Astyanax mexicanus: one gene and its partners. The protein of the gene in region 2 purifies or fractionates together with the protein of the main gene of each other region. This does not show direct contact. Links are inferred from orthologs where the notes say so. Each region holds a gene or a part of one and is shown on either strand. Other genes may lie near its edges.

Region 1 (9,458 bases), on a different chromosome or scaffold from region 2:
TTTATGAATTAACACGAATTCTGTACAGGGTTCATACACGCTTTAACCAATACATTTCCATGATTTTTTCATGACTTTTCCACGCCTTCAAGGCAAATTTTCATGACCAAATGATTTTTAAAACACCAGTGCAAACATGCACAGTAAAACAAGAAATCAACTACAACAATTAAAATTGATTATAGTAGGTCTTAAATGAATCTGATAAAAAGGTTGACAATCTTAAATGATAAATTGTGTCAGATCCTGAAGGCTCCATTGTGTAGGGCTAAATTACTTAATTAACCCTGAGCTGACGTATTTGTTGGCTCAAAATAGATTTTCTCCATCACTTTCTGGGTTTTTTTTAATTTTCCAAAACTTATCCAGGCCTGGAAATTGCTATTTTCAAAAATTCCATATTTTTTTCCAGGTTTTCAATGACCGTACGAACCCTGTCTGAAATTAATCCCACTTTTTCTTTTTTAAGATTAGTCTCTTTTATATAACTTAGTGCTTCCTGGTTGATTGTAAGCTATATTCTGGTTTTAGGATGTTTTATCAACCTTTGTGTGACATAATTTAGCAACTGTAATTCTTTTATTTAAAGAGTTTATCCACTTTTGGCATGTTTGAAAATTGTAATTCAGGGGCGCAAAAATGACCATGTAGAGGCGGGGCTTAGAAAGGAGTAGGAGGAGATATTGAAACCAGTAACAGGCTTTTTGCATCCACTAATACAACCACCAGCGAAAACATCATTATTTATAACTGCAATAGGGGTGAAACTGAAAATTACATTTTCTGTTTCTAGAAAAAGTACATGCAGTTGCATTGTTTGAGCACCAGAGGACAGAATTTCAGTAGTGAAGGCTGTAGAACCATTGGGCGTAAGCAAAGGGTGGTGGCCATGTCAATCAATTTAAATTAAAACCAATCACATGACCACTTTTTGAGGTCAATCTATTTTTTTAAAAGCCAATCAACAGCCAGAGTTAGATGTCCAAAACACAAATTAATAAAAAAAAAATGCATTTTCTTTACATATTATGAAAAATGGTACCAGGGATGCCACAGAGCTGTATCTAAAAGGAACGATTTATTAACAAACATACCAAACAAAATGAAAGAAAAAATAAAAGAGTTGGAAGTTTGATGATGTTTGTTGGATCATCTTATCTATGTTCTGTGTATCAGTTTATTTAAACCAAACAAATTTGGACATATAAGGATGTCTTGTTTCTTTTGGCTTGTGGGAGCTGGGACTGAGCCTCTAGGGGGCACACTAACCAGATCTATACAAGCTAAAGAGTAATTTACAGGCACTCAGGTGTATTCTTACCCAGTCCAGAGAGTCTGTGTTCAGGGTGTAGCTGGTCTCTTTCCAGTCTTCATCTCCTTCAGGCTGGAAACTCACTTCCTGAATTGCGAAGATATCGCTCTCCTCCTGCCCTTTACCATGACCGATCTGCTCAAGCACAAACAACTTTAGATATAGTAATATTCAACACAGCACTCAGTATTGTACTGTATATTAACCTTAGACTGGTTTAACCAGCAGAGTCTGAGTGTTCAGGAGTTAAGAGGTCTTACCTCATCTTCTGGGAAATGGCAGTCGAACACCAGGGCATTTTTTGCCCCCTGTTTCAGGACTTCAACAACAAAGTTAGGTGTCGAGACGATTTCAGGCTAAAAGACAAGCAAGAAACAACAAAAGAAGCAAAACATCAAATTAAAGATTTGTTAGAACCGTGTTTAATATAAAAGCTGCTGGGAGAAATTCTCGACATTCAGTAGCAGCACGTATACACAGTACACAGACGTTCCAAAAAAAAGAATGAATAAGATAAGACACAAATAAAAAATACAATCAAAATAATAAAATAATGCTCTTATAGTGTCTTTTTTAGTGTGCATGTATGTGTGTGTGTGTATATATATATATATATATATATCCACTATTTTGGTTCGCATCTGTGTGCTGTTACTGTTTTCTCATCTACCCTTAAAGATACTTTAAGGTGGTAGAATGTGACTATTCTTTCATTTAAGGTGGAATGGAAAATCTAATTATTAAGCAAATTTCTTCCAGAAACAAGCTGCAATAATTTCATGCTTCTGTTTGTGGCTTCTAGTTTTAACTGCATTAAAAATCATAGGGGTTTATTTTAGTGCACAAGTCAGAAATGATGGTGCTGTAATCTGTGCATGTATACTGGGGAAAGACCTAAAACACCATGCAAGAATGTGGTGTAAATGGCAGAAAAACAACATACATTCATGCATTACCAATACATATATATATATATATATATATATATATATATATATATATATATATATATATATATATATATATATATATATTGGAATTTGGTAACCATTTGTAAATAAGTTTAGAGTGTGAAAAATGGAAGGATGCTTTACCTCCTTTTCCTCTGCCTTCTGTCCATGCCCTGGCTCCTCCTCTTCCTCCAGGGTTGGGGGGATACTGTTGTTAATGTTGAATGTGATGGTCACCCTAAGGGAAAAATAAATCTGTAAGTCTAAGATCCCAATTTGGCTAGTCCAAATATCCAATCCATTCAGCTGCTACTCAGCTGTATATCCCCTATCATTAGTGATGCCACAGCACAAGAAAGGTGAAGACTAGCACACGCCTCCTCCGACACATGTGAATTCAGACTCCGCCTCTTTTCTAACTGATGCAGCATTACTGAGTAGCATCACAGCGCACTAGGAGGTTCTGATACATCAGCTCACATACAGACACCTTGTGCTGATCAACATCACCCTTTGGAGTGATGAGGGGAAAGAGCGCCATCTATCCACCCAGAGAGAGCAAGACAAACTCTCTCAGGGCTCCTGCAGCTGATGGCAAGATGCATGACCTGGATTCAAACCACATGATCTCCTGAATGACATTTTATATGCAATCATGATTTTAATAATTGTTCATAAAAATCGTACCTCTCTCCAGAAAGGGAGCGAATGAGTTTCGCCTCTGTGCCGTTGAGTTTGAGCTCCCATCCTCCAGACATTTTGGGAAGAGTTGCACTTTTCTGGATCTTCTTCTCCTCTTTAATTTCATCTGAGAGGAATTCTGCAAACGCTTTATCGCCTGGAAGAGAAGAGAGGGATGATCACCACCACACATAAAAAAATGCTTATCTATTAAAAATGACAAGAAGCATTGACATTAGCTCCTTTTTATTTTAATAATTTTATATTATATTATTATTATATTATATAATATTTTGATGTAACAAATCATGTACATGAATGTACATGTGTAAATAATTGGAAAAGAATAGTTAATATGCAATAATTATTGCATGGTTGTTTCATTTTAGAAATCAGCAAAATGTTGTACAGCTTGTGGCTTTTAAAATGTCTTTAATGCAGGTAATTAGGAGTTCATTAGAAGCGTCTAACTAGTCTGTAGGAGCCAAAACTCTTAATGGTTTTTAGGGGATAACATACGCAATATTTTTCCCTACGAAATACAATAAAAAATTATACAATTTATATTTATAATTCTGGATTTTATTTTTGATATTCTTTCTTTCTCTGTTAAAAATAACTTACCCTTAAATTTTTTGTTCTGACTAAAATAAATAATGGCCGTTCATGTCTTTTTCAGTGGGAAAACTTATAAAATCAGCAAGGGATCAAATAATTATTTACCTTACTGTACTTTTTACAGTTACTAATTTTATAAAGCACCTTAAACTGGATCCTTAAATATGCCCTCCACTCAAAAGTTCTTGATCTGGATGGAGATGGTCATCCAAGTTAACCTACAGTACTCAACCTCAACCCTGCTCTGACTTTCATCAAGGTCACATTCCTTGTAGAAATGAACGGAAGTAGAATCACACATTCAGTACCATTCATTTACATTTAGTTTTTTTATAGAATTAACCCAAATAACCAGATATAATATCCTTTTAACTTGGGTAGCTGTCAAACTCATACACCAACATTTACAGTCACGCTCTGTCTCTGTATACTACAAGTATATTACATTAGTTAGATCTAATTAAAGTATAAAAAATAAGAAGTATAGTCCAATTTATGAGAGGCAAACCAAAATTAAGACTATATAATAGCTACTATATTTATATATCTCATAGTATTACAGTAAATCTTAGTTATAGAAAGATAAACTAGATAATAAGTCAGCTCCCTCTCCAGCCTTGGCCCCAGGCTCCTCTGTGTCTCTCTTTAACCGGCTGATGAAACCAGACACACGGCGTTATATAAGCGGATAATCCCCCTTCAGATAAATTAGACAGGTTACCTTCAGTGTGGAGACCCCCGCAGCCGCAGGGCACCGCCGGCAGCCCCCGCTCCGTGCTCAGAAGCTTCGGCCTGCTGCCCGAGGTCGCGCCGTTACTGCTGCACAGCATCCAGATGGAGCGGGTAAAAGGCCGAGTGGAGGCCGAGCTGGGAGCGCACAGGGCCGGGCTCGCCAGCGCGGCCCTGGCGGCCGGGGCTTTGGTAGAAAGCCGAGCGGCGACGCTCACAGCACGGCTCAGGGACTTCAGCATGGCGGCCTGATCTCCAGCAGAGTGAAGGACTGAATAGCCTGGAAACACGTGGGGAAGGACAGGGGACGGAGCCGAGTGCGAAGCCGGAGCTGATCACAGGGCTCTTTTCAAAATAAAAGTCTCTGAGTTTCAAAGTCACTGCTCACATATACACTGTTTTATTGTATAATTGAATTATATGTGTCTCACTTTTAACTTTAAATATTTAACAGCGTAATTCATTAAAAATATCATATTCATAAAATACATAATTTAATGTTTAGGCATCACATTATTAAATATTTCAAGTTTGGCAAAAAGTGAAATTCATTTTGAACAAGCAAAAAAATCTATAACAATACAAAAAATATAATATAAATAAATTAAAGTAAAAAAAACTAATTTCATAATATGTGTTGCTACAGAGTTTTGATGTCTTAACTAGTAATCTACAAGGTAGAAAATAACTTATAGAAAAATAAATAAAAACATAAAATGAGAAACGTTTGACTAGTACTGTGTACATTGCATATACAGATATAATAAAAGAAACGAAATCAGTACTTAATTTTCAGCTGGGGCAACAGAAGCTTAGGCCAGTCCCTAATGTAATAAATAAATTGCTAAATTAAATTAAAACATATGTAAAATTTGTTAAATAATTCGATAACATGTTGTAAGAAATAAATATAATTGATTAATATAAAAGAATAAAGGATTAAATCATCCTTTCATCCTAAGCAAGAAAAATGATAAAACATCAAAAATCTGAAAAATGTTTATATATATATATATATATATATATATATATATATATATATATATATATATATATATATATATATATATATATATATATATATATAAACGCTATTCACTATTTGTTCTTAGTTTTTAGGGTTTTTTTTAGATGTCTTTACTAGTAATACATTTAATTTAAATTAAATAATTATGATAGGACTTTAGGGGCATATCAAAATAGTTTCCTTTTATGTCAGGTCTTGCTGAAATATTTTTTTTCTGTAAACTTTTATTTTGAAATGCTGTGCCTCCTCCCCTTTTCAGTGGTGTTTCCACATTGCTAGTGAGAGAAGAGGTGTTTTAAGAGGCTGAAGTTACTTCAAGTCATTTAACCTCCTTTTTTTAAGTTATTTGAGAAGTGGGTGAGTATATGGCTGTATTAACAGTGTAATATTTAATGTACAGTGTTATATTATATGATAATGGCGCTGTTCCGGTGTAAACTGTGTGTGTGTGTGTGTATGTTGAGCAGCGTGTTGTGGAGTGATGCAGCTGTGCGGAATCTGCAGTGAAAATCTCCCTAAATACAGATGCCCAGCCTGCAGGATCAGATAGTGAGTATACCACAGTTATACACTCCCATACTGTACCAGCCCAACAGTTAGGACACACCTCTTTTTCTCATTCAGTGTGTTTTGTTTTCTTTCTTCTTATTAATCTTTTACATTGTAAATTTAATATTGAAGTATATTTTAAAGCTATACAGGAACACATGCTGAATTATTCTGTAAACAAAGTGTTTAATAAACCAGAAAATGTTTTATACTTTAGATTATTCTTAGTAGCTCATTCATCTTAGAGGACAGATCTGCACACTCTTGGTATTTTAATCTCAGTGTCTTCATGAGGGAGAGTCACCTGAAAAAGTTTTCTCAGTATCTTAAAGGAAGGAGTTCCTGGAGGTGCTGAACAATAGTTGCTGCTTTTCCTTAACGCTGTGAAGCTCCAGCTCATCCCAATTAAATCACCTCAAATCACCATCTCAGTTCATCAGGTTTAGATCAGGGGATTGGTCAGGTGGAGGACAATTTTTTTTTTTTTTTACTGTTTACTACATAATTCCATATGTGCCCATTAGGGGTGCGCGATATGGCTCTAAAATAATATCACGATATTTCAGGGTATTTTTGCGATAACGATATACTTGGCGATATAGGAAAACTAAAATAATTCATTCATTTCAGGAATATAGTATAATAGTATAACAGAATAATCATAATGTGGCAAAATAAATAATATAGCATAAAGTAATATAATGCAGCAAAAAATATTGCAGAATATTTAGTGCATGCATATTGTCGCTGTCCAATGAAAAACTCTGATCTCCAAAACAGAAAAAACCTTGTAAACTTTCAGTGGAAGTCAATGTAAAAAGAGTTTATTTAAGGTCATTTTGAAGAGTTTCTATTGGTCTATGCATTAAGAAATTTTGGCACAGTGTAAGGGACAGTTTGTCTGTTCAAATTATGTAGTAAACTAAAAATGAACAAAAATGGAGATAAGTGTTTTTCATAGGACAGTGATGATAAACTGCTAACTAAAACAATTATACAATAAATATACTTAAAGCTTCACAGTAAATAATAGACTACTTTTAAGACAGAACAGCCCTATTATCACAATATGGATTTTTAATATCATGATATTTCTGTGTCACGATATATTGTATACGATATAATATTGCCCACCCCTAGTGCCCATTAATTGTTTTCCTGTCTTTAATATTAAGCTACAATGTAGGAAATAAATTAAATAAAGAAATAAATAAAGAAAACATTGAATAAGAAGGTGTGTCCAAACTTTTGGCTGATATATGTATGTGACTCAATACATATCTATAATAACAACTATTAATACAGACAATAAATAATAGCAGGTATAAGAGAAAATTAAAGGTGCTAAGGACTTGTCCCAAACTGTGCCCCATAAGTCCTTTTGTCTACTTTTGACTTAAACAGACAGGACATAAATATAGGAACTGTGTACACATGTATGCCTACTATATCTGTGGTTATGTGGGAATCCATATGTGAGAATCCAATGTTGGTGGATGCAGTGTAAATGAAAAGTAACTAAAGTGAAGTGCAAGGTGGATGGTGGACTAAGCGCTGTTTAGATGCCTGATGACGTGAGGGAAGAAGCTGTTTCTGCATTGGCTGCTCTGAAACCAAATAATAACGTTTGTGTTCTTTTTTTGATCGTAGCTGTTCACTGGGTTGCTTTAAGAAACACAAAACTGATGGTAAGTAATTTTCTGGTTTAATGTTTATTTTTGCTGTAAATGATCTGTTCAGCTTTACTAGAGTTGGTCATATAACATGTAACATGTGTTCCCCTAAACCTAACTCTGATGAATAATACTTTTCTGTATGTTTTATATAGATTCCTGTCAGCAAGTGAAAGATACAACACCTCCTGTCACCACACCACTTCCAGAAGTCTGTGCGAGCACTGGTGAGTGTGTGAAGAGCTCCAGAAACCACAAATAAGCATTATAAACAGGTTTCACACTCTGAACTGGTTGTTTAAAAAATTAATTAATTAATTAAAATGTGATTTCAGCTGAGGAGCCCTGGACTGCTGATGATCTCCTGGATGAGGACAGCCAGTCAGACAGAGTTCCTCTTGAAAGACTTCAACAATTAGGTATGTTTTTGGTTAATTAGTTGGCAGTTTGTCATGGTTGTATATTTGGTACAGTAAAGTGTTTCCTACATTATAAATGAATACTAAAGTAATCCAGACTATGAAGGAACACACAAGGAACCATGTAATAATTGAAAAGTGTTAAACAAACCAAAATGCTCGTTTCTGAAGCTGGTAACTCTGATAAACTTATCCTGTACAAAAGAGGTGACTCTTGCTCTCATTTTCCTGGGGCAGTCCTGATGAGAGCCAGTTCCATCATAATGTTTTTGATGGTCTTTGTGACTGCACTTGAGGATTGACTGACCTTCATTTTTCTTAAAGTATTTTTTTCGCGGGCACCTAGTGGTCCAGCGGTTTAAAGCGCTGCCACTATAAGCAGGAGGTCGCAGGTTCAAACCACCTTTATGCAGCTTTACCATCAATTAGAGGGAGCACAATTGGCCCTGCTCCCTCCGGGTGGGTAGATGGCGCTCTCTCCCCACATCACTCCTAGGGTGATGTCCACAACACAGGGCTCTTTGAGCTGATGTATCAGAACCGAGTCGCTGTGCTTTCCTCCGAGTGCGCTCTGATGCTGCTCGGCAATGCTGCATCAGCAGCAGCTTGAAAAGAAGCGGTGGCTGACTTCACGTGTATCGGAGGAAGCTTGTGTTAGTCTTCACCCTCCTGTTGTGTTGGGGCATCACTAGTGATATAGGGGGAGTCCTAAAGAGTGGGTTGGGTAATTGGCCGTGTAAATTGGGGAGAAAATGGGAAAATTATAAAGAAAAAAAAAAAGTATTTTTTTTCTTTACTTAGTTGAGCAGTTCTTGCTTCTCATAATCTGGATTAGAACATTACTCAAATAGAGCTTAATTCACTGTATACCTGTAACTCTACCTCTTCACTACTTTACAACTGATGCTCTCAAACACATTAAGAGGCAAGAAATTCAACTGTCTGTGTTTTATTAGTTTAGTTAGATAGTAGGGTGGAGCGATATGGCCCTAAAATAATATCACAATATTTAATGGTATTTTTGCGATAACGATACTCTTGGCGATATGACAAAACACTAAATTTAAAAAATAATTTCAAGAATACACTACTGCAACAAAATAAAAATTGTATTTTATTATTGCATAAGACATATGACACACTCCTAAAAAAAAAAAAAGTATTTTATCCAGAATGTCATGATACTAATAATAATGGACTCCAGATATCTCCATTTATCCAGGACTAAAGTGAAATAAATGATACTGGACAGATATAATCTGTCTCTAGTAGATGTATAATGGGAAATGAGAACAGTGTTATTTTTTATTTTGCTTAAAAACAGGAAAAAATGGTTAGGGGTATGATAATTAGGGGTGGGTGATCTGGCACAATATTTCAGGGTATAATATCATTCACAATATTTAGAAATGTTGATAATACAATATTTCACACCCCTATTAGATAGTGTTTGTCTATAGTTGTGAATTGGCATATACATATCAGGTCACATTTTGATAG
Region 2 (11,005 bases):
TCAACATGAGAATTTTAGCACTCACTGATGCCTTTTAGCCAAATTAAGTGAAATAAAAGCTGATTTTCCATCAATAAAATTACAAACCGTTCCTCCTCATGTACCACAGTAGACGTGAATGATGAAGTCTCCTTAAAAAGACATTACACAACATTCAATGTTTTTTACTGTTAGGAAAAGCCCCCGTTTTTATAAGATTTACAGCACGCTCTCTACATAAAATTATCTTAGACTCTGCCTGTTTGATCTGAAGCTGTGTTTAACAGAAGCGCAGGAGTGTGAACTCAAATCAGAGCTGCAACTTTACCATCAGCGACTCAGAACCTACTTTAATCATTTTATGAATCATATCTGTATAGATTGCTGCTGCAGGATCAGGGTAATAGCAGAAACTTTGTAATTTATTAATTGTTCAGTGTGTTGAGCAAATTTTCCTCACCCTTTATATACCAGAGATTCCTGTAAGAATCAGGACGCTGTACAGAGCCAGAATAATCCACTGAAAAGCATCTTTAAAATACTGCAATTCCTGCAGTTCAATCTAACCCAGTAAACACCAGTGCAACATGTGGGTCAGAACCACAGCCCAAACTTAATTTAGACTTTCCTTTAAGGAGAACTGAGAGGAATTAAATATTTCACAGATTTAGATCTTATAAAAAGCACTGATTGAATTAGTAACCCACATCAGATGTTTATACAGATTCCCACTTGCAAATTACACCGGCATACACCAGCACTAATAGTGCAGGGAGGTACTCTTCATTTTGAAGAGACCCGTCTGACGCTGTTCTTAAATCCTACAGAAACTATATCAGTCTGAAATTGGGTATATGCACAGAGTTACCATCCACTCGAGGCCATGTATTAGAACCAGAGCTTCTATTCAAAACAGCTGGTGACCTCTAGTGGCTACAGAAACATTTCAATAATCTTTCTCCTGGAGGTAAGAATCCCACCTTCTTTTCTTTAAAAAATTAGTGAAGAGTTCTGAACATTAGAAGCTGCTAGAACACTGAACACACTTCCCATAGACCAAGAACTAAACCTATTCTGATCACCTGAAGCCCCAGAGAGTCTTCACTTGTGTAAACTGACAAACTGAAAGTTTAAAGAAATTTTTGTGGAAAATGTTACTCAAACTACAATTTACACTCAACATTTAGTAACAGGAAATAGTGACAAGTACTTCCACTTCCCAACCAATAAACTCCTTAAAGTAAAAGCAGACCGTAAGACCAAGAAATGCTAACTGAAGCATGAGACTTGAAAATTGCATTTATGTACAAAAATAAAGTGGATTGAGATACAGGAAGTAGAACAGAAAAGTTAGAACATTCCTCTAAACTACAAAACTGTGGCCATGAATTAACAGTACAGGTTATGCAATAAAATAAAAACGCAAGCCTGCTCATCACAATTAGGCAGTACATTTGGTATACAAAGTAGTCTTAATGATTTTACAAACCTGCGTAACTTCTGTACACAGACATTAAAACTGCATGTTCTGTACAAAAGGAAAGAGGCATTGCTTAGAATCTGTGGATGTACTGCAGGCTTTATTACAACGATCTACAAAGTGAGGGTAAAGACAAGCACCCCCATCAACTCCTACAGTCAGACCAAGTTCTCTCAAAAAAGAAGAAAAAAAAAAACTAAAAACAAAAAATTGGTAAAAAACACGAGATTTAAAAGGAGAAAATATTGGTACACAAGTTTAAATCACTTCTGAAGACGGTTAAGTGTAAAATGTCCACCATATTCAAAGCTGTAACAACCACCATCTCACACCAGGAGACATGAACACGGCTCGGCAGGTCAGCGTGGTTTAGCTGGTATCCATCTGAGGATAAAAGAGAACAGAATTCAGAAAAACTCATTTTACTCCTCGTCAAATCACTGTCCCAGCCACTTTATTCAGGAGCATAACACTACTTTAAATCTCCATTCCACCTTAAATACTGCTTGACCCCAAAGACAGGGTTTAGGGGTCTGAAGGAGACATGAGTGAGCCATAGTCAGGTTACGTACCCTGGCATTGTAGGCATCTAGCTGAGCGTCCAGTTCTTCTGCCGAGAGCTGCTGTTTGTTATTGCCTCTTCCACCTCCTCCTCTACCGCGGCCTCGGAGTCCTCCACCCCGACCTCCACGGCCTCGCTGTAAACCCCCGAAACCCCCGGTTCTGTTCCTGTTCATTCCTCCTCCTCCACCACCTCGATTCAAACTAAAATTGAAACAGAAATTATTAGGTGAACATAAATAAACCCTCACTAATTCAGACAGAGCAGGAGAACCTGTACTGACCCCTGCATCGGGGCTCGCCTCTGAGCGTCAATCTGTGATGTCACCAGCTGAATGTTCATTGGACGACCTGTGGAAAAAAATAATTACATTTAAAAACTTCGTAATAAGTGACAAGCGAATAAATCTGTAAAAGATTAGCAATTCCAACTAAACCCTACACCAACCATTTCTACCTTTGGGCAATAACACATCTGAACTCACTCAGAAGGAAGAAATGGCTGATTTAGGTTTAAGCTTCTCTGAAAAGGAACAAGTAGAATAAAATCAAAAAGCTCACCATCCAGTGGAACCCCATTGTACTGCTTCATAGCCTTCAGAGCGTCTGCTTTTCTCTCGAAGTGAACGTCTGCGGTGCCGAGGCTCCGCCCCGACCGGTCATAATGCACCGCAGCTTTCTTCAGAGTGCCGAATTCAGCGAAGAGTTCCTTCGGACAAAAACAAGCGAAGTCAGGATTCAAATCCAAGACTGTGCGTTTTAATACAGACCCCCCCCCCCAAATCTACTGCACCACTGTACCTGAATATCTGCGTCTGAGACGCCGAAGTCCAGATTGGACACCAGCAGTTTTCCTCCAGTCTCCACTCCAGCTCCGCCGCCGCCACCACCGCCACCTCCAGCACCGGCACTGTAGCCGTTATCGAACAGGTCATGCTGCCACTTGTCGGGGAGCTGCTTCGGCTGCAACAGACGAAAGAGAACGCACCTGCTGACTTCGGGTCCCGGCTGGCACTGACTGTCCACTCGGCAGGGTGCTGGGGCAAGCAGGGCCCCGCCTCAACCAGGCCAGCGCATCTGGCGCTCACCACGATTTCCAGCCACCCCTGCCCACCCCATCACTACACAAGTACGCCAGTGCAGGGAAAGGAGGCAACAGAGAAAACTACACACTGACTAAAACTGCAGTTTTAAACATTTTAAAAAGAGCCCTCAATAAACTCATACGTATGCAAAGAATAACTCAAACCAAATAAACAGATTAAAAAATGTAAGGCAGTTATAAGAACAGAACGTGACTTTTAAAAGTTATTGCCAAAACCAGTTGGCCCATGATTACGCCCCATTTTTGCCCACATGCTAGGCTACCATCAACATACAGGAAGCAGTTTTAGTCTAAAATAACCATTAAAAACAGTCCTAACCCAACTTTTAACTGTTACTCGTCAAAAACTGTGCCTTTACTACAGATTCACTGAACCATATAGCAACCAAAAGTACCATAAAATGATTTATACAGAAATACATTTTTTTTTTAGAAATCAAAAAGTCATTCAGGTTGTTTACGTAAAAGAGCAGATGTGGAAGTAAATAAGATGTGTTAGTAAAGAGCAGAACACCAGTTACTGCCAGCAAAAGAGTAAAAAATAATAAAATGATTAACTGACTAAGGTTTGCTAGTATTTCCAGGTAAATCTGTGGTAATATGCTAATCAGAATGTGTATATAACTGCAAACCAAACATTACTACTAGAAATTGTATTTATAATACAGATTGTGTTGGTGATTAATATCTGGATTGTGTTTTCTGATGTGATCTCAGGTTAAAACTGCTAAACTAACAAACCCCAGAGTCTTTAAATAAATCTCTGCAGGTCTTCAGAGTTCAGATCTCCAGAAGAAACAGGTGGTGGATTCAGCCAGTCCATCAAAAAATTAAAAATGGAGATAAAAATAGAGTCCAGTGCTGCCTGATTAAAGCTCTTGAGGAACTGAAGAGATCAGCGTCCATTTTGAGAGCACGCCATTTTGACTGAGCTAACTTTATATAAGTGTTTATATAATCTCCTATAAACTCTAAACCTGCAGCAGAGATTAACACAGATTTAGAGATTAAAGAGTCCATTCTTCATAAGGAGAATCCGCGGTGAATCTGATATTCAGGCTGAAATTAAAGCCGTTTCTCTTCATCAGACTCCGAACAAAAGATCCGCACTCTTCAGCTCCCGCAAAAAACACAAAACACCGCCGGTCTCCCCGCTGATCTCCGGGTCTCCAGACCCGCCTGGACGCTGAGAGCAGAACTCTGGAGGAGAATAAAGCAGCAGATCCTCCGCTTCTCCCTTTTTTCTCAATCACTTCTTCACTATTTCTCCATTTCACTGCGCCCCGCTGCTGCTGTTCCAAAATGGCGCCGGCCTGTGTGCCCTAGTTAGGGCGCTTTAGCCACGCTGGATCCGCTCAGCTAAACCCCGTGGGAGAACCGAGGTTTTGGTTTTGGGGGGGAAGAGAGAACAATAATGCACAACACATTTTATAGGAACATTTTTCCGGAGAGGCCCGGGTTCGGGCTGAGCTAGGCCCGGGCCCTGCGGCCGCTGCTGCGGATTCTCCTACCCTGCTGTACGGCGCGGGTCTGCCGCCTCTGCCGCGGCCCAGGCTCTGCCGGCTCCGCATGGGCCCCACCGCTCCTCCGCCCCGGCCTCCGAATCCTCCGGCACCGAGTCTCCCCACGCTGCCGCCGCGGCCCCCGCCGGCTCCCACTCCCCGGCCCCGGCCGCCTCTCCCCCCGCGGCCTCCGCCTCCACCACCGCCGCGCTGCTGCTTATTCTGCTTAATAATGTCATCCAGAGACATGTCCATCTTATCCGCCATGCTGACCCTGCGCTATACTTCTCTTATACTCCGCTATATACTACACTAATACTCAGCTATACTCCTGTATACACCGCAGTATAAACTCTATAATCACGCGCCGCTGATACCCGGATCTATCACCCGCGCGCCCCGCCGACCGGAAACTGCTCCCTGCCGCCCTCACGCGCTTATAAGCAAGGAGACAGTGACGCACTTCCGCACAACATTACTTCCGCCGCTGGGCGGAGACAACTCAACAACAACAAAGATACATATATGTATATACACACATATATAAATACCTCACTAAAACATCAGGCCTAAATCATTAATGCTTTAATTTCCTGTTTTTTAAACCAGTTAATTTATTTCTGTTTAATCTTAACTTTACTCCAACACTGTGACTAAAGTGCAGCAAATCTGACAATAAATAATCTCCAGTGTTTTACAGTTATTTAAACTTTCCCTTTTAATGAGTTCTACTAAGAGAAATCTATCAAAGTTTAAAAACTAACTTCCAACTACCAAAATTTTATCTAGTTTCCTTACTTTAATACATACACAGTGAATAAACATGGAACAGTTCAACAGCACTGGAACTGGGGAACTTTTTTTTACATTGTGAGACGTAACTTCTAAAAATCTAATAATTCAAATAAAGCAGGGGTATGAAAATGTTTTCATCGGTTTTAAAGGAAATAAACACAAATCATACAATGCAAGATTTTCACTAATGCTTTCTTAAAATTCTTTAATTTAAACCCAATATTAACACTAACACTATTCTATTAGAGAGCATATGCGCAATAATTCTGTACTAAATTTCCATAGCAATATTTATTATAGTATATATGTATCATAGTTCAGGTGAGAATTAGAGCTTTTGTGTTTCTGTGGACCAAACTGAATTCTCACAACCAGAGAAAAAAGCCCATTTGCTGTATTATTCTTATTATTGTTACTTTATTCACTTTAAGGTGTTTCAGATAGATGGACTGTTTTACACATCTTATTAAGGCGATCACTCAGAGACTCAGAAAGCCATTGACAATTGATCAGGTGAATGGTCAGCTATTCTCACCTGTGCTCAGGTGAAAAGCAGCCTATTGTTCTTCCAACTGCCTTTACCTCCCCCAGACCAGAACCGATCCCTGCGGCAGTTTCTATAGTCCTGAATCATCATCAGCTAAAATACCGTCTGGGCCACAATTCCAAGTGTTGTACAAGCTTCTGTCTATTAAATATTAATATACACAGTAGAAAAACATTAAAGGAGATTTGTCCAAACTGCACACACACACCTGAGAATTTAATACTTAAAAAGTGACTTTTGTGGACAGTGACCTTCTCTCCTCAGCTGCACGGTTAATTTGTGCTCCTGGAAAATTATAATAAATTATAATATAATAAATCCGGGTCAGTGCGTTTAATGTTAGTTTAAATTGATGTAACTACTGATTATTGTTAGACTTGTGTGAACTCTCATTATCAGAATACCCAGGCTGATATAAATTATTGATTAGTGTTGAACTGTTCAGCAGTAATCAGATTATGGATTATGAAGTGCATGTTTACACTCTCAGTGTCTCAGTGCTGTAAGGAGAATGAAACGTAAAGAGATAAAAGTCTCTTTTTTTGTATTTTAAGGCTTATTTTTATTTATGATGCAGAAAAAGTAATTAAACTCTTTGAAAGTTTTATTTATTTATAAAAAAAAAGTTTCTTAATTAAAAACCTTTGGCTTTCCAAACTCGCCTCTATAATCATAAACTCGTCCGTATGATCACGTGTATAACCATAAACTATAAACTTTCTTTCCATCTAAATTCCTAAAAAAAAACTGCCCCTCCAGAGTAACATGGTTTAAATGAGTTTATGGTTTTTAGATCGTCGAATCTTCAGAGTCTGTCCCTCACTGTCCGACTCCACGTTTCTGAATAAATACACTTAACAACGAAAAAAATCCAATTCCAAAAACCAAAAACCAGGAGCCGAGAGAATCCCTGAAATCCGACTCCGGGCCGTCCCGAACCCGCAGCCCGAGCAAAGCGCAGGGGTTCGACTGGGTCCTGTCCGGAGGCAGAGCGGGGGGTCAGTTTACCCCGAGCGCGAGTCAGAGACTCCGGACTGAGGGGGACAGGTCCATGTCCCGAGGGCAGGAGGGAGTAACAGAGGGACAGGACGGGGGGACGGGACGGGGGGACGGGGGGGGCTGGTGATCTCGGAGGACAGGGGGGAAGAAGATCTAGGAACTCTCTGTGTTTCGCTTCTTCAGGTCGCCAAGGTCAAATGGGGTAAAAGCTGAAACACAGATGAAATTAAGATCAAACACTTTAACAGTGACACAAAAACACATTTACTAACTAAATATATGTACATGTTCCCACCCGATAACAACAGAGCTGAAAAACCCTTCTGGATGTTTTTAAAGTCGTCTGGTTAACGTGTTGATGCTTTTATAGTGAGGAGCTGCTGCAGGTGGAACTTCGTCCCAGTTCACTCCCATTTAATTTAAATGGAAAGTGCAGCAGATGAGATTTCTAAACTAAAGTGAGAGAGGCAGAAAATAACATATTTTATATTTAATTTTTTTTTCTAATTTTTATTTTATTTCCCCCCTAATTTTGCTGTCAATTACCCATCACTAGTGATGGCCCAACACCAGGATGGTAAAGACTAGCACACGCCTCCTCCGATACATGTGAAGTCCGACTCCGCCTCTTTTTGAACTGCTGCTGATGTAGCATTGTCGAGTAGCATCACAGCGCTAACACTCGGAGGAAAGCGCAGCGACTCGGTTTTGTTTGTTTGATCAGCAGAAGAAACCTGGACCCAGATCCCGAACAGTAGATAGAGAACGCCTGGCGTCTCAGACCGTCTCTACAATTTAATTATATAATTATACATAATACTATAATACTATTAATACTATAATTATCACACAGACACTCAATCAACTACGCGCCGTTATAACGAGCCGGTATCAGTATAAACAGTGTTGGGAAGTAACGGATTACATGTAACGGCGTTACGTAATCAGATTACAAATTATGAGTAACTGTAATCCGTTACAGTTACTGCTTCAGTAAGTGGTAATCAGATTACAGTTACTCTGCTAAAATTAAAGGGTTACATTGCGGTACTTTCCTATTTTTGCTCTTCCAATCCAACACTGACAAAACGCAAATAACATTTTGCGGTGAAATCGCTCTGATATGACAGGGAACTCTCTGCCCCTCCTCCCGTCTCGCTGCACACACACACACACAGGGAGGAGGGGCAGACAGCGGCTCCGCACACACAACGAGACGAAATTAACTGACATTTTGGTCAACGAATAAAAACGAGACGAAAATGTTTGGCAGGGACGAAATCCAATCAGAACTAATTTAGGTCTGTGAAAGGTAGGGACCAGCTAGGAAGAGATCCAATCACTGCTACTTTAGCGAAGGTGGAGTACCCGCCTCTCCTGCAGCAGCGCCGCGCGGAATTAAACTGTCGATACGGAGCTCGACTGGAAGTTAACTCCACAGAGTTCAGCGATATATTTCTCTTTTGACGTCGCGAAAAACAAGATAACGTGTAAACCGCGTGGAGCGACTCCATCTCCGGTAAAAACACCACTAATCTTTCAGCTTCTGCAGACCAGAGTCACACAGATCTCCATGCAGAGATCCGCGTTTTAATACTGATGTTATTTCATGAGCTGATGTGTTTAACTCGGCAGTGCACTAAAACACAGAACTGATACAGAACTCACTCATTAAGATCCGATCATCTGTTTAGTCTCACAGTGGGAAAGATATAGCTAGTGTTAAAGCAGGAGCAGCTCAGAAACTCAATAATATAACCAAAATAAAACAATAAAATAAGTGAATCTATGAACCCAAAAGTCTGTGTAAAGTTCCTTACAGCACTTTCTCATCAGTTTCTCACTTTAACTCATGAAGTCTCTCAGTACATCCTGAGAGCATCTCTACAGGACAGTGTGTGAATGTGTGTTCATTTATAGACTGTAGCTCCAGTAGGTGTGCTGGGTTAATGCTGGAGATAAAACTAGATCCTTTAAAAGTTTTTGCATCTACAGCTCTGTTTAAACTATAATTTAACTATTCAGATGTTTTATGACCTGATTTCTAGAGCTAAATTTTAAATGTAAAATATGTATAGTCACACACCTACAATAATAATAGTAATAATAATAATATACATTAAATCATATATAAATATATTTCACTTTCAAACATTAACAATATTACTCAAGTGGTTATTAAACGTTTCATTTCGTATACGTGTAGAGTTAATAATTCAAGGGAACTGATGAACAAGCATTTACATTTACACCCTTTACATTTTAGTCAACTAAATTTACTGTAATTTTAGTCGACTATATTCTTATGACATTAAGTCGACTAAAACTAAAAACATTTCAGATGACTAAATTGTGACTAAAACTAAATGCTATTTTCGTCACAAGACTATAACTAAGACTAAATCACAATTTGTTGTCAAAATTACACTGGAGGCAAACCTGCAAGTAGATAGCTTACAGTTGTTGTTACATTGTTTGGTTTTAAATGGTTTTATCATCAATTTATAGAAGTGTTTCATAAAATTGTTTGATGAAATGGTTTCATAAGTATTTTTATAGAGTGATTGAAAAGGCTGTTTTATTTGTTTATCTATTTGTTACATTCATTCAGGCTTAAAAAAATGACAATATTTAAAGTAATCCAAAGTAATCAGATTACGTTACTCACTTGAAGTAATGTAACTGATTACGTTACAAATTACATTTTGAGTGATGTAATCAGTAATCTGTAAGGGATTACATTTTAAAAGTAACCTTCCCAACACTGAGTATAAACCGTATCAGACGAAAGTGAGAGTTCATCTGATTCTACTGACCAACTGTAAAAACCACGACCCAACAGTCCCCAACAGTCACTGATCATCCCGATAACGGTGTAAAATAATCTGATTATTAATCTGCAGGGATTAAAGGAGCTGCTCACAGTGAAGGTGAGGGTTTGGGTTCTTCTCTACGTACTCCTGAGGTCCACGCTCTCCGTTCTGCAGGGATTTAATATCTCTGAGAACACACAGCCACGCTGAGAACGCAGAGTTACAGCCAGTTTATAAACATCATTAATCATTAATGTAATTAATAATCATTAATCCAGGTGGATGTGGAGATACTGACTGTCGTGGATGAAGCGAACGTTTTCCTCATGCGCCGGCGTGAAGAGTTCACCAGTGCTGGTGGGAGAGCGAGGGCTGGAGGTGCGTCTGTAGGTGTGCATTCTGGGAGCAGAGGAGCTGAAAAACAAGACGTGAGAGATTTTATTAGATTACAGAATTTAATATAATTACAATTATTCACAGATCAGCTGGGAAGTGTTTTAATTAGTTGTGATAAATAATAATAATAGTATTATTAGTATTAATAGTCTGGTGATAAATATTGCGGTAGTGATTCACAGTGTTTAGTTCTGACACATCGTTTTAATCAGTTAAATAATTTAATTACATTAACTTTGGCAGACGCTTTTGTCCAAAATGACTTACAATAGTAAAAAAAAGTAAAAGTAAAAGAAGTTAAAGGTAAAACATTTTTTATTCAGGGCTTAAAGGAGGTCGAAGGGAAATAATGGAATAGAGGAGTGAAGGAGGGGAAGATCATTGAAGAAACACTGAGAAGCTGCTTCACATTTTATTAAAAATGAGTTTTAACTGATTAATTAGCAGCACATTTTGAAACATATGGGACAGTACCTGTAATTTTGTCTGTTAATGTAAATTTCTGCACGTCACAGTGCTGAGATAAATATTATTATAAGAATCTTTTAAGATGTTTTAAAAATATTGTGATATAATGTACTATATATAAACACCTATCACCCGCTTCTGTTTGTAATTCTGCCTTAATAAAAATGTAATAAAGAAAGGAAAATGTGCATTTTATTAACATGATTTTATACTTTGTCCAGATTCCATTTACACTTTAAAATTAAATCGATCCCAGTGTGATTTAACTTTACTGCATAAATAAACTAAAACAAAAAATTAAATAAATAAAAGTTTAAAGATAATTCAGCTTTAAACTCAGCTGCTGATCTTTAGAAGAAT
Region 3 (10,083 bases), on a different chromosome or scaffold from region 2:
ATTACATACGTACAGCAGTACCAATGCCAATCAAAAGTTGGCAGGTTACTTATTTTCTACACTGTAGATTAATATTAAATACCTGATAACACCTGAGGGATACATATGGATTTATGTAGTAAAAAAAAAAAAAGAAGAAGTATGTCTGGGCTTTTATAGGATATTTTTTTTTAAATAAATAAATAAATAAATAAGGTATGATATGGTGTAGAAAGATTCGATGAGCTGCTCACTGAATTTATCTGATTACATTTTTAATTTGGCATCAACGTTTAGAAGTGAGTCTGGGCTCTTATGGGTTAAAAGGTGCCTTATTTTTGTTCTACACAGGTAAAGCTGGGAAACAACTGATAGTTTAACTAGAATAATAACTAAAGGTATATTGGAAAGCCAGTTCAGTCACTGTGGTAAAGAGTCTAAATTTCTCCCCTGTAGGCTTGGTTTGCTGGTTAGTTTGGTTAGCAAGCTTAGCTTTGTCAGCTGTTGTGGTGCTAACTTCTGTCAAGCTGAGTGCTTAGCCGAAAAGCTAACCAATAGTTAACCTACAGTTTAAACCAAAATAACAATAAATAGATGCTATTAAAGGGGACATGAAACATTTCAGTTTGTACAAGTTTTCTAAGGGATTAAATATAATGGAATTTATTTGGGGGGAATTTTTTATATAAAATGTTTACACACTAAATTATAATATATTTATGTTTGTTACGTTTGAGCTAGGGCGCCGCCATGTTGCCCGTGCAGCACTGGTGACGTCACGAGGTTGGTTGGTTTAAGATCCCAGGCATATAGCTAGAGGAAAAGAGCGTATTGTTTGTCGAGATTATGGATGAAGACGAAGCTGAACTAGGCTAACATGGAGCATTTGCTCAGAGATCTTTCCTGTATAAACCTGAGCAGAACTTTTCAGATGCTTTTCTGAGAGCGAGACGTTTTGGGAGTGTTTATTCTCTCTCTACGTGGAGCCGTGCAGAACCCTGCAGCACGTCCACAGCAGGTACTGCCATCCAGTTAACCAGCTAGTTTATATACATTTAGCTATTTAACATGCAAAGTCCAGAGTTCATTAAGACTGAATGAAACGAACATGATTTAAGTGGATATTGAAACACCAAGGCGCTGTTTGGTTGATAAACCGTTCAGTTTAGAAGTTAGAATGCTTACTGGGTACTTAGCTTCATCTAGTTAGTGTTAGCTAGTTAGCTAGCGTTGGCTAGCTAGAATAAGATAGCTAGCTAAGTAGCTAACGCTAGCTATGTTATCTTTAAATTGTCATTTTATCTAGATTTTCGGCAACGGTACCTCTCGCTGCTCTGCTGGGTGGGCGTGTTGTTTGGCTGGTGCGGCTCACAGCTGCTGCTCTCATAGTAACGTTACCCATTCAGACGGTCTGTACATCTCAGCTGATCAGAGGAAAAATAAAAAACGGAGGAAAAAAGCCTCGGACTGCAGCTTATTTATCCGGCGCTAATGCTCCTGACTCAAACCCCTCTCCTTCACATAGTCCTGGTCTAGAAAGTGCTCGCCACTAACCCCTAGCGTTGCAGATAACCGGAGGATTCTCACGATTCAGCGCTGCGAGGGTATGAAAGTGAAAGTAAATATTTCTCATTCCTCACCCTATTAAATTTCACTACTCCCAATATTACTACACACAGGGGCAATACAAAAGTGCCCCCCCGCTCTGCATTGAGTTTTGGTTTGGATTTTATTATTTATTGAGGAGCTAAATTACGGTATTCTCATAGATTATAGTAGTGAGGCGTGCGAGAACCAACCTCGTGACGTCACTTTCAGCGCTGGGACAAGATGGCGCTGCCCTTACTTAAAAAAATGACATTTAGATTGCTTATTATTTTAATTCCGCTTCACTGACAACTGTTAAACTTCTAAAATTTGTTAGAGTGAAAATACATCTTGTGAATTAAACTAAATACTTGAAGTGTTTCATGTCCCCTTTAAACCTAGCTAGAGAAATATTTAGAAATTCTCTCCTATAGACTTGGTAGGTTTGCTGGCTGGCTAACTTATAGCTAATGTAGCTTTGCCACCTCCTTAGCCACTTTAAAAAATTAAAACATTTGTGTTGAATGATATGCATTGCAGTCTTTAAAATTATAAAATGTACATAAATAAAAATAAAATAAATAAATGTTGCATGTTAGTTTTTTTTAAATATGCATTTCAATATTCAGTATCCGGTAAACTGGACATTTGTAAATAAAGGCATGAAATCTGCAAAATTATCAACTAAAATGAGATTCAAGGAAAAAACATAGTCCATTAACACTACATTAACCATCTATGGCATAATTTTCGGTTATTGCACCTTTCCATGCCATACAATACCTTATGTATTTTTAATATAATGTTACATAGCATATCTATGTTCAAAACAATGATGTGTACAAGGGGTTTCTAACTATGTATATGTGCAGGAACATGTACATTTGGCTGTTAGTATTCTTACATTTTTCTTGTAAACTTACTAAAAATATTGTTTTCTTCTGCAGTTAGACCACTTTTGTTAATCATGTTAAAGCAGTGGTTTTCTTTCATCTCTGCTCCTGAAAACCTCTTCCTACTACCCTGCATTTTGGGTGCTTTCTTTATCTAAAACACCCGATTCAAATTACAAGCGTGTTATAAAGTCAAAATTTAAATTTGAGTTTGCTATATCGACAGTGACTGACAAGCTTCCAAATATTATATTTTTTCCTCCCCCAAAAAATATATAATTCTTCTTTTTCGACACTCAAATACATACAATTAGCTACATAAATACAGTAATAGTAAAAAGTCTGGTAAAAATTCAATATTTTTCTTAATTTATTTATTATTAATATTAAGATTAACACTAAAAGGCATTAAAATAAAAGGGAAAACATAAGACATTATTTTAAGAAATAGAATAAATAAAACTTAAATTTTCCAGTAGAGTGCTGGACATATGTAATACATTGTAAATTAGATTAATATTAAAAGACATGAAAAAAGAATTTAACTACTTGACTAAATTTAATTTGGCATCAATATTGAGAAGTGGGTCTGGGATGTTATGGGTTAAAATGAGTAATGGTTGTTTACTTATGTTCTGCAGGAGTAAACATGAGAAAGAATGCTTTAAATTAATTTTAAGTGTAAATTGAAATTATATTGGAGCGAGGAGTTCCTAGTTTGTTACCTGTAGCCTAGGGTGGTTTGTTAGTTAGCTATCTAGGCTAGCTAGCTTAGCATGGCTTTGCCAGCGGTTGTGGCGTTAGCTAACGTTGGCTAACTTTTGCCAAAAGCTGACTGCTTAGCCAAACCAGCCAAAAAGCTAGCTGTTAGCTGAAAGTTAGAGCGTTGATATGCAGTTTAAACCTAAATAACAGGAATAAATAGATGATATTTTGTATTAGTCCAGCTAGTAGTGTTTAGAATATAGTGTTACGCTAAAGTATATCTTAGCTAGGTAACTATGTTTACAGCTCTGGAAAAAATAAGCGACCACTTAAACACCTCTGGAATAAGTTAATCAAGAAGAAGATGGATGATCACAACCCATAAAACCAAGCTGAACTGCTTGAATTTTTGCATTAGGAATTATCCAAAAGCAGTGTGTACGACTGGTGGAGGGAACATGCCAAGATGCATAAAAACTGAGATTAAAAACCAGGGTTATTCCACCAAATATTGATTTCTGAACTCTTAAAACTTTACTAATATGAACTGGTTTTCTTTGCATATTTTTGTTATTTCAGCCATTTCTCATTTTCTGCAAATAAATGCTCTAAATGACAATATTTTTACTTGGAATTTGGGAGAAATATCGTCCGTAGTTTATAGAATAACAACATTTTTCATTTTACTAAATATTATGCCAATAAATAGCAAAACTCAGAGAAACTGATTCACAAACTGAAGTGGTATTTTTTTTCCAGAGCTGTAATAAATGTCAGCGAGGCTAAAAGCGCGTTAGCTAGCTAAGCTAAGCTAACGTAGGTAGCTAGGTTACGCCATTATTAACACGGGCACGGTTAGCTAGGCTAGGTTAGCCAACTAGCCTGGATGCTAACGAAGCTAAGCTAAGCTAAAGCGCTATTTTTTAACACGCAGAAAATAAACAAGCCCGCTAGCTAGGTTAGCTAACAGGTTAGCTTAGCGTTAATTCCGCTAGCCAGCTCCGTTTTCCCCCCACGCCAACTCCACCTCGCGGTCTAATATTCCACCAAACGCAGAGGAATGGGAGTTAGAGACCTGGTTGTCCAGCTGGCTCTGGGTCTGGCCCTGTGTCTGGGTCTGGCTCGGCAGGGTAAAGTCGGTGAACTCGAACTCCGAGCCCTGGGTATCGGCTCCCAGCAGCTCCGCTTCCTCCGTGTCCAGGAAGGTGAGAGTCTGCGAGCTCGGCCCGTACGCCTCTACGCTCATATTCTCCTGTATTCGTATCGTGACCGGCGGCGTCTGTCTTCCAAACCGACCCCCTCCGAGACCAGCGCGCTGAAAAACGTGCAGAAACGCAGCCCGAGTCCGTGCGCGGAGCCCGTTTTCCGTTAAACTCGGAGCAGAACGACGTTTCTCAAATGAAAGCACACTCGCTCCAACTCCCACTCGAAACGGCGACGTAAGCACCAAGCAGCGCACGAGCTGCTGGCGTAGAGCGCAGGGCGGGCGCGTGACGTCCACACAGACCTGCACACATTTTCAGAGAAGAGACATTTATCATAGCACTAATAAAATAAATAGTTATTAATTACATTTTTGACCGTTTGAGGCTAAATGCCGCTAAAAAATAAATAATAATAATAAAAAAATAAATAAATAAACAAACGTTATTTTCACATTTTTGCATTTTGCAAGGATTATACCATCAGATTTGTTCTACACGGTCAGTGCAACGTTTATTGATAAGTTTCAGGCTAAATGCAAACAATGTAAAATTAGATGTAAAAACGAATTATTTAACTTGTATGTAGTTTAGTGTACAAGAAATACGTTTTCCCATTTTAGTTTTCTCTGCACCTCACAATCGGGTTTTTAAGAAAAATTAAAAAGGAATCTTTTCTTTATTTTCTGATTTTTCAAATTTGCATTTTGTAAGGATTATACCATTAGATTTGTGTTACACGGTCAGTGGAACGTTACTTAATTCAATTTTCTGACCGTTTGAGGCTAGATGCAAAAAAAATTAACTTGCATGTAAAAACTCATTATTTATTTTTCACATTTAGTACAGTGTAGAAGAAATAAGTTTTCACTCAATTTTTATAATGCTTAGTTTTCCTTCTCTGCCACTCACAATCAGAATTTTAGGGAAAAAAACTTTATTTTTGAATTTTTCCATTTTTTACATCTTGTAACAAAAATTAGTTGGATTATACGGTCAGATTTGTGATACAAGATACAAAAATGGAAAAATCTGAAAATCGAGGAAAGGAAACTCCATAATTTCATTTGTTCAAACTATACTTGGATAGAGTACAAATTGGACAAACAGAAAGGCTGCAAATATTTGCAAATCCCTATGAATATTTTCATAAATGTCCCTCTCATTTATTATTTATATGTATGTTTATGTTTGTTGTTATGTTTTGCTACTGATTGGATTGATCATGTGAATTTTAATTCAGAAGAAGATTTAAAACTAAAAAAAAAAAGAAAAAAGGGAAAAGACGATGCTGATGCCACTTGTTTCGGATTTAAAGCAGTTAATAATCAAACATAGACTGCAAAAAAATCCATTGGCAAAACTATACAAAATCTATCTATATTGAGAGGTAAATACTTATATTAAAAAAAAAAATCTGCCAATGGGGTAAGCTAATCAAATTAACTTGGGTAATCGAAATTGCTGTTTTAATGCAATGAAAACAATGGCTTGCGAATCACTGTTTACACAAAATACTGAAGTTATGTTAGAACTAGTTGAGAATTGCTGTAAATGAAGAATATTAAAAAAAATCATTTTTATAATATCGCCCAGCCCTTAGGTAAGCAAATGTTCATTAAGACTTGGTTTGGATTTGTAGTTAGGTATGTCCCGATCACATTTTTAAAAAAATATTCAGTACCTAGTATACTGAACATTTGTAGTTAAGGGCATGAAATCTAGAAACATAATAATAAAATGTTCACAGCAGAGTGCAGAAATGATTTACTTTTTTTTCTCACACTCAGAAGTGTGATCCCAAATTGCCTAATGTGCAGTGAGGAACTGTGATTCGGGTAAAATGCATTAAAATGTTTTCTGTCAAATTCATGTTTCTTGTATTTTATGACATTTGTGTGGTATATGTACTAAAACCAGAAACAATTCATTTTCATCTTACCTTTTTCCAACATTTTCTTAACCTGAAACAAACCATGCCTTTAAGAATGCTAGCTGCATGAAAAAAAACAGTCTACAGTCATGACTGCAACACCCTTTATAACTTCAGGGTAAACTTTGGGCCAAGCTATGAAACATGTAAAGCGGGTCAACCCAAGTAGCATGGGGTCCTCTGATTGAGTCTTGGTTCCTTCCAAGGTTTCTTCCTCTTAAAGGGAGTTTTTCCTTGCCACTGTGTCACCATAAAAATTGGCATCTCTGTGGTGCTGCTCGGAAGGGGCGTGGACCTGTTTTTCTCTGTAAAGCTGATTTGTGACAGCTTTGTTGTAAAAAGCGCTATAGAAATAAAATTGAATTGAACTCTGTGTGTCATTTGTTAAATAACAGTGTCTTTATTTATCATGACGTAGATCAAATCACATTTTTTCCTGCAGAAAATCCATTTAATTCCAATAAAGCGTTCACAAGCATTTTTTTTTTCTCACAGCTGAAAATAACAAACCACTCCACAGGTTAAACGTGACATGATGAGAAAGACTGTTGGTAGGTAGACATCATAAACTGGAGCAACCAGCTTCACAGTTCCAGATTGGTCCAGTGTTTCTTTAATAAACAGACAAACAAATAAACAAAAATGCTCCTTTAAAAAAAAATAGACTGAAAATTAAGTAAATAAAAGTAAATTCTTCCACTTCCAGGATTTCCTGAAACTAAAACTTTCCTAAAGCTATAATATTTCTATAACTTATATAGGCACAATTCAGGCCCATAAGTTTACTAATATCATTGCGGTCATATAAAACGGTTCAATAAACTGAAATAGAAATAGAGATAGGAATTGCTCACATTAAAGTTAAGGGTAATATATTCTGCATAATTAAATAATTAAGATATATACCAAAAGACATTCAGAGTGTCAAATGCTTGATTCCCAGGTCAGAACTCTTCACAGTGGTTGTGTGAGTTAATAAACACAAACATGCTAATACCTTAATACATTAATATTTTAATTAGCTTATTATTCAGCAACACAAACACTGCATAACCCTGATATGTTATTGAAGAATGTGTTGAATTTTATAGGTGTTAAACGTGATTGCACCATATCTACTAACCAACAAATATATTATATTATATATTATTTTCAGCATATTATATTATATTTCAGTTTTGAATGGAATTATCCAATTTTATACAACATACACATTTGTGTGATTTGCGTTTTGATTTTGATAAATGCTGTGTTAAATCAAAACCACTGGAATTCAAATCACACTGTACTTACTATTGCAAAGTCATAATAAGTCTCTCTTTAACATCATATCACTCCGAATGACTGTGTATATCTTAATCATTGAACTGAATTATGCAGAAATTCTGAATTTATATTTTTTCCTATTTAAATATTAAGAGCATTATATACATTAATTTGGAGATGCTTATTTATTAAGACAGCAGTGATATATATGCTTGAGAATGTGAACTCTGACATCATTGTGTGGAAAAAGGTCACTGAGAGATGACAAACAACAGGTTATAAAGGTCAACCCTGATTTCACAGTTTCATTTATCACAGGAAAGCTGGCTGACAGTTAGCTGTAGTAGCCCTGAAGAGTTAGCTGTGTACAACGTTGGCAGAAGACCCTTGATAAAAGCAGAAGGCAACAGGATTTTCAAAGCAGTGTGCTTTGACCATGATCATGTATTACAAATACATCATTAATAATAATAAAAAAAAGATACTACTAGGGATGCACAGAATATTTGGCAACCGAAAGAATTCAGCCAAAAATGGCAAATAAAAAGCACTTTAGGTGTTCAGACAAAAAAATAAAAACAGAATAATTTACTGAAGGTACACTGAAGTAAAACGGCAGTGTTTACTCTAATGTTAGGATTTTTTAAAGCAAAGCTGATGTGTAGAGAGTGAGCAAACTACAGGGATAATATATAAAAATATAATTATATATTATATAATTATATATTAAGATAATTACTTAGTTAGAAATTTATGTTAATTTAAGTTTATGACTTGCTAGAACAGCACTGCTGAAATAAATGTATGGCCAGAATAGCACTACTGAGGTAAAGTGTAGTTCTTGGTTGGTTTGTCTGCTGGGATATTTAAAATCTTTAGTGTGTCTTTGAAAAGCAAGTCTACTTAATATTTTTACTTGTAAAAAGCAGCAAACTTAAAAATGTCTTTTTTTTTCGGTTTAGGCACAAACATTTTACTTCGGTGCATCCCTAGAACATCTAATAACTTTTAAGAGCTAGCTAATATTTCATTGCCATAGGCACTGTACAGGCTGACATTTCTATCCTTACCCCCACTTGTTTAGCCCACTCTTTTAGTGCACAACCCACTTGTTACTCATTCCCACCAAATACAACACGTGCTTTCACTTTCAGTATTAACATGAGTGTCTGTGCTAAAGCTGAACACTCCAGCTTCTCATTTTAACTGAAAATAAAATGTGTAATACTTTTATTGTCACCGTCACATCAAATCTTGTATCTCCAAAATGATAAATTTACATTAAAAGCCTGACCCCTGAATATAATGATCTAACTGGGAGGATAGTCCAGGCTCATGTTTAATTCAAAGTGCTGTAGTGTGCTAATGTAACATACAGGTGGCACACTTAATTTTAAGGGCCTTTTCTTTTTTTTTTTTTTTTTTACACTCACACTTTTTGTCTTCCTAAATGGGACTATGGTTCAATTGGGCAAGTGTGAATACAGTGATTCACTCGGATGCGGACCATATAATTACTACTACTAGCTATAAGTCAATTAATTGCATTGTTGAATTCTGTTTCATAGCTGTGCAATAGTTGTTAAGTGTTTTTAAAATATCTAATTAAGATCATATAATTGTTGTAGATCGATTTCTACATATTTGTTGAATTTAGCTTATTTATTTATTATAAAACTATAAGGCGCAGTAAAAATTCTTTAATTTTCCCACAAATATTCAGTGCTTATAATCCGGTGCTCCTTATGTATGAATTTTACCAGTCAGGTATTAACTAAAGTGCAGCATTAAACAGGAGTTTCAGTAAAGTTTCTCCAGCACTGGGGCTGGAGCAGTATTAGCATTAACTGCTAACTGCAGCACTAGCTCTTTCGCTGTTCAGGGGTAAGTATATTCGACTGTAGTTTACTGTGTTAAAACAAGGTATGTGGGATGAACCGATAGCTGAGTGTGCCCTGGGTTACCGGAACACTCAGGGTTTCTCAGTTTACCACTATTGGGCAGCATTTACTAGTGCTAACCATGTCTGGCTATTGTTGCTAAACGGGGCTGGCTAGTGCTGCTAACTGAGACTGGCTAAGCGCTTGCTAACTGTGGCTAGAGCTAGAGCTGCCAAGACTAGAAAAAAGACTAGAAGACGTTCATTGATAGTGCGCCTTATAATCCGGTGCACCTTATAGACTGAAAAATACTGATTTTAAAATAGAATAAACACAATGGAAATACAAGGGTTTTGATGTGACAGCAATGATATATGCAAAACAACTCAACTGCCTTCTGTTCATAGTGTGACCGGGGTATATTAAAAAGCTGCCGAGGTGTGAATATTATATACATAGCCTTTACTTCCTCTGTTTTCATTCACGCCAATTCAAAAATAGTTTGTTTTATACATAGCACCACGACTCAGTCTCAGCATCTTTTGACTATACCCCCTAAAGTGCCGTCCGTTCCTATTTGGCCCCAGCAATGCTAGGTGTAAGGATGCAGGTGCATGCCCAAGCAGCCCAGCGCTGCC

What was found. Proteins that work in one complex are often made in the same cells at the same time.
Region 1: the proteins of alyref (region 2) and complement component 1 Q subcomponent-binding protein, mitochondrial purify together in Homo sapiens (affinity purification with mass spectrometry; 3 studies listed by BioGRID and IntAct, with this or other methods). This does not show direct contact. The link is inferred for Astyanax mexicanus from reciprocal best matches to the Homo sapiens genes ALYREF and C1QBP.
Region 3: the proteins of alyref (region 2) and upf1 purify together in Homo sapiens (co-immunoprecipitation; 3 studies listed by BioGRID and IntAct, with this or other methods). This does not show direct contact. The link is inferred for Astyanax mexicanus from reciprocal best matches to the Homo sapiens genes ALYREF and UPF1.

The regions. Positions count from the first base shown.
Region 1 is NC_064408.1:12,095,638-12,105,095, reverse strand, and holds the start of complement component 1 Q subcomponent-binding protein, mitochondrial, read right to left. Parts: upstream 4,603-9,458; 5' UTR 4,533-4,602; coding exon 4,283-4,532; intron 3,101-4,282; coding exon 2,950-3,100; intron 2,501-2,949; coding exon 2,407-2,500; intron 1,669-2,406; coding exon 1,573-1,668; intron 1,448-1,572; coding exon 1,322-1,447; intron 1-1,321. Other genes in the region: znhit3 (zinc finger HIT domain-containing protein 3), read left to right, coding at 5,799-5,866, 7,517-7,554, 7,695-7,766, 7,875-7,958.
Region 2 is NW_026040069.1:82,352-93,356, reverse strand, and holds alyref (THO complex subunit 4), read right to left. Parts: upstream 5,060-11,005; 5' UTR 4,895-5,059; coding exon 4,637-4,894; intron 2,984-4,636; coding exon 2,822-2,983; intron 2,730-2,821; coding exon 2,582-2,729; intron 2,372-2,581; coding exon 2,305-2,371; intron 2,225-2,304; coding exon 2,032-2,224; intron 1,844-2,031; coding exon 1,829-1,843; 3' UTR 1,264-1,828; downstream 1-1,263. Other genes in the region: mcrip1 (mapk-regulated corepressor-interacting protein 1), read right to left, coding at 7,122-7,177, 9,892-9,987, 10,080-10,195. UniProt on the Homo sapiens protein: Functions as an mRNA export adapter; component of the transcription/export (TREX) complex which is thought to couple mRNA transcription, processing and nuclear export, and specifically associates with spliced mRNA and not with unspliced pre-mRNA.
Region 3 is NC_064411.1:48,583,834-48,593,916, reverse strand, and holds the start of upf1 (regulator of nonsense transcripts 1), read right to left. Parts: upstream 4,603-10,083; 5' UTR 4,411-4,602; coding exon 4,240-4,410; intron 1-4,239. UniProt on the Homo sapiens protein: RNA-dependent helicase required for nonsense-mediated decay (NMD) of aberrant mRNAs containing premature stop codons and modulates the expression level of normal mRNAs.